Xenopus tropicalis: one gene and its partner. The protein of the gene in region 2 purifies or fractionates together with the protein of the main gene of each other region. This does not show direct contact. Links are inferred from orthologs where the notes say so. Each region holds a gene or a part of one and is shown on either strand. Other genes may lie near its edges.

What was found. The genes of interacting proteins can lie anywhere in the genome.
Region 1: the proteins of smad7 (region 2) and rnf111 purify together in Homo sapiens (affinity purification with western blotting; 3 studies listed by BioGRID). This does not show direct contact. The link is inferred for Xenopus tropicalis from reciprocal best matches to the Homo sapiens genes SMAD7 and RNF111.

The regions. Positions count from the first base shown.
Region 1 is NC_030679.2:99,170,264-99,174,945, forward strand, and holds the start of rnf111 (E3 ubiquitin-protein ligase arkadia), read left to right. Parts: upstream 1-1,831; 5' UTR 1,832-1,994; exon of another isoform or gene 1,995-2,076; intron 2,077-4,682. UniProt on the Homo sapiens protein: E3 ubiquitin-protein ligase. Required for mesoderm patterning during embryonic development. Acts as an enhancer of the transcriptional responses of the SMAD2/SMAD3 effectors, which are activated downstream of BMP.
Region 2 is NC_030677.2:205,593,799-205,598,454, forward strand, and holds the start of smad7 (mothers against decapentaplegic homolog 7), read right to left. Parts: upstream 3,077-4,656; 5' UTR 2,014-3,076; coding exon 1,533-2,013; intron 1-1,532. UniProt on the Homo sapiens protein: Antagonist of signaling by TGF-beta (transforming growth factor) type 1 receptor superfamily members; has been shown to inhibit TGF-beta (Transforming growth factor) and activin signaling by associating with their receptors thus preventing SMAD2 access.

The sequences.
Region 1 (4,682 bases), on a different chromosome or scaffold from region 2:
TGCTTCGTCGGCTGCTTCGTTATGCCTCTCCTTGTGCAGCGCGACATGCCCTTTTATAAGGTTGCGACTGTGGGTGTGACGTCATTACGCACAGGCGCAACCTTATAAAAGGGACTGTCGCGCTGCACAAGGAGAGGCATAACGAAGCCACAGAAGAAGGCGGAGCTCCTATGGGAGGTACTGTGATAGGGGGACACTGTGTATAGGGGGCTACTGTGATAGGGGGACACTGTGTATAGGGGGCTACTGTGATTGGGGGCTACTGTGATAGGGGGACACTGTGTATAGGGGGCTACTGTGATAGGGGGCTACTGTGATAGGGGGACACTGTGTATTGGGGGGCACTGTGTATTGGGGGGCTACTGTGTATAGGGGCACTGTGTATGGGGGGCTACTGTGTATGGGGCGGGCTGCTGTGTATGGGGTGGGCTACTGTGTATGGGGGGCTATTGTGTATGGGGGGCTACTGTGTATGGGGGTTACTGTGTATGGGCGGGCTACTGTGTATGGGGGGGCTGCTTTGTATGGGGGGGCTGCTGTGTATATGGGGCTACTGTGTATGGGGGTTACTGTGTATGGGGGGGCTACTGTGTATGGGCGGGCTGCTGTGTATGGGGGGGCTGCTGTGTATGGGGGGGCTACTGTGTATGGGGGGGCTACTGTGTATGGGGCGGGCTACTGTGTATGGGGCGGGCTACTGTGTATGGGGGGGCTACTGTGTATGGGGCGGGCTACTGTGTATGGGGCGGGCTACTGTGTATGGGGGGGAAAAACTGGTACTTAGTTATAACTCACTTATAACTGACTGCCTTCTCTCTATATTTGTATTTTAATGTAGGAGTTGCTGTATTGTTTTCCTTAGGTCGTTCAGTATGAGGGTATAGCACATTTGCGTCTGCTCCCGCCATTTGATCTATATAAAAGGGGTATTTTTTTAAAAATGGGGTGTGGTAATTGGGGCGTGACCACAAAAGGGGGCGTGGTCAAAAAAATTTGCCGCGCTGCGCGCGCCAAATCTTTTTGTCCCTCTTTTCATTTTTCAAATGTTGGGAGGTATGCCTTAGTGTGTTCATTAAATGTTTATCCTGTTCGGCCCGTCACCTAAAGTGTGTTTTGGATTTTGGCCCCCTGTGCAATTGAGTTTGACACCCCTGGCTTAGAGGGTCTTCACAAATTCTCAAGCAGAAAATGATGTTTGCCTGTCATTGAGGGTGATGCTACTGTTCTCATGCAGATTACACCGGCTTCAGAACATCCTTGCACTAATCTGTATTATTTACTCATCAACCTTATACTGTTACATTTATATCTTATATATACCGTATGCTGTGGGTGGGTCCCTGAAGTGACAGAAGCACAGAGCATGTGACCTGAGTCAGCAGAAAAGATGGGGCATTGATATTCCCTACTAATTGGCTGCAGTTGTCTTGGGCTGGTGCATAAGCTTAAAATATAATTTACAACATTTCTGCACTACTTAAGTTAAGCTTTAGTTGTCCTTTAAGTGCCAGGACTAGATATGTTCTATTGGTCCAACAGTACAAGTGTCATACCTGAGGTAAAGCTTACTATGGCTTACAAGCTTAAAAGATGTAATGCAAGGGTTCATAAACTAAAAGTCTGACTTTTAGGGGAACGCCTAAAAGTAAATTAGAGTTGCATTTGGGAAAAATATATATATACTCTTAGAAATATATCAGCGAGAGCTGACACCATCTCCTAGTGGTAAATATCCTGCGCACATCAGCGCTACCACACCACGTAAACAACAAGCGAGTCGCTGAGGAGGGAGGCGCTAGCAGCCCACGTGACTGTACCATCCGGGTTTTGCGGCGCAAGCATTCGACGTCACGTGACTCGGCGGCATCTTAGTGTCCAAAGGTAGCTACCTAACATGGCTTCCTTGGCCATTACGACTGATCCAAAGTGAGCTAAAGATTAGGAACCTCGACGAGTCCGGAGTGACTAACGTGCTCATGTCCAGGCTGAAGCAGGTATGTGCTGCGGGGCGGGCTCGCTACTGCAGTCGGGCTTCTCGGGCGGGCCTAGCGAGCTAGACGCTTCGTATTGAGGGAGGTATGATAACTGCTCAACATCGCATCTTTTACATTCATTTCCTGGAAGCCTTGGTTATTTATATATAATCAGGATTGTATTATATCTATATATATATGGATGGTTAATATAGGCTTGACACTAGTATTATTATCTTAATGAATGTGTTCGCAGGCTTCTTGCCACTTATGTACAGTATTTGTATTCATGGCCATTTGTTTTGGTTCTGTATGGTGAAATGTATTTGTACCTGATTAAAATGTAAACACAATTTCTCTCCATGAGCAGCTCGTATTAAGGGAATAACCATCATACATGAAGAGTGCTATTGATCTGGAATAGGTTCCCAGTTAGAAGAGACACAATCTCACAATTACATTTTCAACTTTAAGGGCAATAACCGATAAGGAATTTAGTTGTGCAGTTAAGTGATTTAACTTTTATATCTGCAATGATTCTCATTATCCACAAACGGAGGTAATTTGTAGGCATTTTGCCATCGCTGCAAACCATTGGGGACAAAATGCCACATCTGTCATTGTCCTTAAAGGGAATGTGTTCTTTGGATAATTTCTTGCACTTAAGCTACTTCCTGTTCCTGTGCTTCTTGTTTGGATCTTGTTTTGGATATTCATCAAGGGGCATTTAAAATGATAAATGTTGAGTTGGCAGTGCAGTTACATATCAAAACAAATCGTATCATTACTTTCATTTTGTAACTTATAGGTTCCTGTTCTAAGCTGTTTGGTTGTTACTGGCAGCTACACTTGTGCTGTTTAGTAACTGTATTTGTAAGTAAGCTCTCAGATATTTGAAAAGAAATACTTGCATTTGCATATCCTGGTTAGTTTCGAGTTCTTATTAAAGGACAAGGAAAGCCTGTTTTGCTGAGGTGTACCAAAATGTTAGGAACCCCCCGAGTTGATTAAATCACTAAGTTTTTATGCAGGCCATTGCTCCTTTTCGGTGGAAAATGTACCAGCCCATGGAAAAACTAAGGGGCCCATTCATTAAAGCACGAATTTTGGGTGGTGAAAAGCACGATTGGAAAAAATGTGGAGTAACCACAATAATTTCTGATGTTTGAAAATGTCAGTTTCTTTTCCCGGTCGTAAGAAAATATCGTGGTTGCGATCCGAAAGTCACAACATTTTTGGATCCAAACAATCGTAAATGGCGCGAAAACCTTTCTGGCTTTGAAACTTCAATGCATGATTTTGGAAGCCTTCCATAGGACTCAATGGCACTCTACAGATCCAACCTGGCCAAAAGATAGTCACTATACCAAAGCTTGAATGAATTCCGCAATGGTCGTAGTCTTTGCGAAAAATATGACTTTTTCATGGAAGTTAACGAAAAAGTATTGCAGTTTTAATGATATTATCGTGGTCATTATGAAAAGTTCTATAAATTAGAAAAAAAAAAAATTCTGAAAATAAAAATTTGTGCTTTCATAAATGGGCCCTTATGTGTTGGCCTAGTGTTTACTTACCTTGCAGTCATCGGCTCATTTTAGGCAGAGAGAAATACATCTGTTTGGAAATTAATAGTCTTGCCTTTACTAGTAATCTATAAAAAGAATATTAGTATTTATATTGCTATGCAACATGTGACATTTAAGATCTTTTCTCCAGGCCCTCAACTATGTCTAAATATTGGACAAAAAGCAGTTATACAAAAGCTTTGACATGTAGGTGAATAATGTTCTATAATTCATACAAATAGAGGAATGTGGTCATTTAAATAGCTTAAAGTGCCCCTGTCCCAGACCTTCAGCTTAAAGGAACAGTTCAGTGTAAAAATTCAACTGGGTTAAATGGATAAACTGCACAAAATAAAAAATATTTGCAATATAGTTAGGCAAAAAATGTAATCTATAAAGGCTGGAGTGGACAGATGTCAGCTCTCTAACCTCTTGGTTAGTCAGTGACTTTAGGGAAAGGGGGGGGGGGGGGGGGTTTGGCACTTGGGACATAACTGTTCAGTTAATTTGTGAGTATGCAGGTCGGATTAAAATGCAAACTAACTGAACAGTCATGTCCCACATCCCCCGCCCCCTTAAGTTACTGACTGCTAACAGCTTAGAAAGCTGTAAAGGAGGAAGTAGTGATCTGGCCATTATGTTGGACATCTGCCTGCTCCAGCCCTTATAGATTACATTTTTTGGCTAACTAACTTTATTTAAAACATTTTTTATTTTGCGCAGTCTATCTATTTTACCCAGTTTAATTTTTACACTGAACTGCTTTAAGGAGATATCCAGTTTAAATTTTACAAAGATAGACTGGCACCAAACTGGACCACAATCAAATATTGCTGCTTAATAATTTCATAAAAAGTTTCAACACCTTTTAACAGTGCTGGGGAGTTTTGTGCCTACATGGGGCACTTAGTCATAGGTTTAAACGTCTTTGTTTCAACTCGTATTACTTTTATATGAAAGAGGCAGCAATCGCATATATCTGTTACAGTATTTTTGAATTGTAGACACCAGCAGTTTCCCAACTCCTGAATTCCTCATTTATGATCCTTTGTATCTAAATTCTAGTGTGTTACTCTGTTAACCATCCTTATTCTCATAGACCACTTGCCCTTAGCTAAGAGTGTTGCTCAGCATATAGTTGATA
Region 2 (4,656 bases):
CCCTGCTATCAGCTCCTGCGACTGTCTGACCGGGGGCTCAGCCACTCCTGCCCCCATAATCCCCCTGTAGCTCCGCCGAGCAGTTAGCATTTCACAGAAAGGCAAAAAGATAAAGGGAAAGGGACTCTCTTTTTTTTTTTCCTTTTTACACCCCCTCCCCCTTCCCCTTGCTGCCCTATTTTTCTAAGGATTACAAAGTAGCCATGCAACTGCAATTTTATCTCCTTACTGTACTTCACTGTACGTTGGGGAAAAGACTTTTTCGCTATTCGCGCATTATACGCACAGCCGTATATAAAAGTGCGCTGAAACTGCCGCCGGAGAAAGGGGCATTGAAGCAAAAAGAGGGGGTTTACGCTTTACACCCCAACTTTAATAGGGGTGTAATAATAAAAGTAGGCTGGTAAATAGGAAACAGGGGGGAGGGCATGATTAATAAACACATTAAGCAGAACAGAAATAAGCTTAAAAGGTAAATGAAGGGAAAAACAATATATTACTAGGGTATAAGTGCAATAAAGGGAGGGACAGCCCCGATCCATTGATGGGGGGATGAATGAGATGTCAGTAGTAACTACTCAGCCCCCTGGCACTGTCACTACTGTCATAGGGAATAATACCTAATAATGACATGAGCCGAGACCCCCCCCCCAGAAATACATAAGCCCCCCCCCCCCTTTATTGCCACTGATATTAGCCCAGCAGACCTGCTATAGGACTGGAGACTGGATGATAATGGGGTGTATCTTGTATATGAAGGTTTCCTGGCAAAGTGACACAAGGCACCCCCACAATCCGTGTGACCCCCCCCATTCCTTTCACACAGTACAACGGAATGACATAGTGACAATGACACCTCCCAGCTTACACAGCAGACTGTACCCCCACAGCACCCACCGTGCCCACTATCCCCAAGCCACACTGTCAGTTATACCAAGGGGCAAGTTACTCTGCCCTGCTATTAGCCACAGCGACCAATGTATCCAATGTGCTGTACCCATGAAACCCAGAGCCATGCCCCCTTTGCCATTCCCGCTATACCCAAGGATAAATATGGAAAAAGAATAGTTGTGCCCTGAGATAAATATGCCCAGTCATATACCCCATTATAACTGTGCCAAATGGCAGTAAATCAGTATCCCCATTACCCATCACAATATTGAACCCCCAAGCCTGTGGCTGCATTGAAATACTAATGCCAGACTGACCCTCTGATGCCAACTACACACACCAGCTGTGCCCAGTGGGTGCCAATGTCCCTGCAGGACAGGGTGGCAGTCAGAGCAAATCCACCCTGCCATGTGTGTGTGCCAGTCTGGGTGTCAAAGTCCCTGCAGGACAGGGTGGCAGTCAGAGCAAACCCACCCTGCCATGTGTGTGTGTGCCAGTCTGGGTGTCAAAGTCCCTGCAGGACAGGATGGCAGTCAGAGCAAACCCACCGTGCCATGTGTATGTGCCAGTCTGGATGGCAGTCAGAGCAAACCCACCCTGCCCTGTGTGTGAGTGCCAGTCTGGGTACAGGGGGCACCTACCTAGTTCGCACAGCCTGCTGAGATGGTGCGGGTTGCAGCAGACCAGCTCCGGGTTGTTCTTGCCATAGGAATCGCAGCAACTAAGTCGTTTGACCTCGGACGAGTGCCTGAGGTCCGGCCACCTGAAGACCTTGCAGAGCAGCAGCGGCAGGGAGAAGGGCTGCTGCCCCAGCCTGGAGTCCAGCTTGGCCGCCGGCAGCAACAGGCAGGGGCTGCGGGCTCCCCCTTTACACTCCACCGCCTGCAGCAGCCCCTCCAGCTGCTTCTCCTTCAGCTTCTTCAGCACGGAGTGGGCGAGGGCTTTCAGTTCTGCAGCCTCCGAGCCCCCCAGCGCCTTCCCGGGCACCTTATTCGCCGATTTGCCCAGGCAGCAACCCCCGGCTCCATGAACCCTCTCCCCGCCTTCCCCTTCCCCGCTCTCCCCGGGAGCTCGGCTCCTCCAGAGTCGCCGGACGAGCACCGATCGTTTGGTCCTGAACATGCGGGACGAGAGCAAGGCTTCCCGGCTAAACAACGTGCATGACGCCCGCAAATCATGAAGAATCCTGGATCCGAGGCCGGGCAGAGACCAGCAGCAGCAGCCCGGGAGGGTAGGGGGGAGCTGGGGGTCCGACAAGCCAAAGCGATCTGGAACATGCGCCAGTCTTTTAGGGGAAGAGATCCTGCAAAGTGCGGCGGGGGGATCCGAGTCGCAGCGACAGGAATACTGCAAACGGCAAGCAGCCGCCCCGGCTACACATACAGCGGGCTAATGCTGGGCAGCCGAGCCGGGAGCAGCGGGGCATTGAATGGAGCACAGAGCGCTGCCCGGCTTGGCCTGGGATCTAAAGGGCATTTATACACAATCCTCCCGGTAGGAAAGCGGGCTCCCCCCACAACTCGTACATCCACAAACGAGCGGGTCTGCCGATAATATCCCTTGTGTATGGGGGGCAAATGGGCAGAGAGTAGGGGCACTAGGGCGGCAGAACCTTATAGATAATCCGTACGCGATGCGGTTCCAGTAAAGAAGTAGAAGCCCTGGGTTGCGCCTCTCGCTTGTTTAATCCACAAGAAAAATCCTTTATCCGGCCGCTCAGTAGGAGAGAGGGGAAAAAAATAAAGTGGGACTTGTCTTTTCCTCCTTCTCAAAGGGCTGATCCGCCCCCGTCTGTGTTATGGAAATGTGCGATGGGGAGAGGGGGGGGGGAGAGGAGGAGGGACCGGCCGCACAGCGGAGACACGGCGAGGGGCAGCGGGGAGAGGACTGGTATCCCTCCGCTAACGAGGGCCGGCTATGGGGGTTCACTGGGGCACCTACACTCTACTGGGGGGGTGCTGTGTCCACAAAGCTCACACTCACAGCACCCAGTTACCAAGGGACTTCACCCTGCTCATTGCTGTCAGTGCCCCTCCTCTCTCCCTGACTGTCTCTCACTTCCCCCTCCCCTGTCTGTGCCTGTCTCTCTCTCTCCCCGGCTCTCTCGGCTCTGTCAGTCTCCTGTGCGCAATGGCGCGGCCCATCACGTGGGTGTCTAGACAGCCTGTCGCTTTAACAAAAAAAAAAAACCCCAAGGATTGTGTTGCGCAAAGGCTTCGGGTTACTGAAAGCTCCTCTTTTATGTCACAGTCAGTCATATGTGTGAGTCTGAGTGAGAGTGTGAGTGAGAGTGTGAGTCTGAGTGTGAGTGTGAGTCTGAGTGAGAGTGTGAGTCTGAGTGAGAGTGTGCACTATGCATTTAGTGGGGCATAAAGCCATCAGTGTAACATTAAAGGGGAGGTTAGCTTTTCAGTATGGCCAATTCTAAGCAACTTTTCAATTGGTCTTCATTATTTATTTTTATCATTTTTAAATTATTCCCCTTCTCCTGCCTCTTTCCAGCTTTCAAACAGGGGTCACCGACCCCCGCAACAAAAACTATGGCTCTGTGAGGCTACAATTTTATTGGTATTGTTACTTTTAATTACTTTTCTTTCTGTTTAGAAATATCAGTCTCTCATTGAAACCAATGCCTGGTCACCAGGGGCCCCCACACCCCCAGTAGGGACTCCCGCCGGCTGCCTCCCTGCGGCCCACCAGGTTTTTTCCTGGTGTCCCGTCGGCCCAGTCCAATCCTGCTGGTTGCTAAGGTAATTTGGACCCTAGCAACCAGATAGCTGCTGAAATTCCAATCTGGAGAGCTGCTGAACAAAAAGTGAAATAATTACAGAACTACAAAAAATAATGACAAACTGCAAATTATCTCAGAATATTACTCTCTATCTCATACTAAAAGTTAACTCAAAGGTGAACTACCTCTTTAGATGTAAGTACCTGGGTATAATAATTACTCCCAGTGGCAGGCTGATACACCTTTATGGCATTGCTGCTGCTGAGCTGTGGGAGAGGATGTAGGCTAAGGCTGTTAGGGGTTGCTGGGAGCTGTAGTTCAAGCTGTGGGGAGCAGATTGATTACTAATGAATAAACTGCTTGCAGGGCCTGGCAGGTATAAGGAGAATACATTATACATACTCGGGTTTCATGTTGTTTCTAACATAGAGGTAGTAGATGCATGGAGTGAGCTCTCCGGGGAGAGGGTATCGGCCTTAGTTATCAGCTCAGCTTGACTGTGCATGAATGGGGTTAAATGGCCGGCTTGTGATGTTGGAGGGGAAGTCGGGCTGAGAGGTTTCAGTGCAGGTTGTTAGGGCTGGACAAGTCCCCCTCGAGCCGCTACTTAAATCTCACTTTTGGCTCGTGACGTTTGGGTACAAAGTGTACATGTTGCAACGTCCGCAAGCTTGTCTCTAATTACTGTCTGCCTCCTACCTGTCCCTCTGTCTGCCTCCTACCTGTCCCTCTGTCTGCCTCCTACCTGTCCCTCTGTCTGCCTCCTACCTGTCCCTCTGTCTGCCTCCTACCTGTCCCTCTGTCTGCCTCATACCTGTCCCTCTGTCTGCCTCCTACCTGTCACTCTGTCTGCCTCCTACCTGTCCCTCTGTCTGCCTCCTACCTGTCACTCTGTCTGCCTCCTACCTGTCCCTCTGTCTGCCTCCTACCTGTCCCTCTGTCTGCCTCCTACCTGTCCCTCTGTCTGCCTCCTACCTGTCCCTCTGTCTGCCTCCTACCTGTCCCTCTGTCTGCCTCCTACCTGTCCCTCTGTC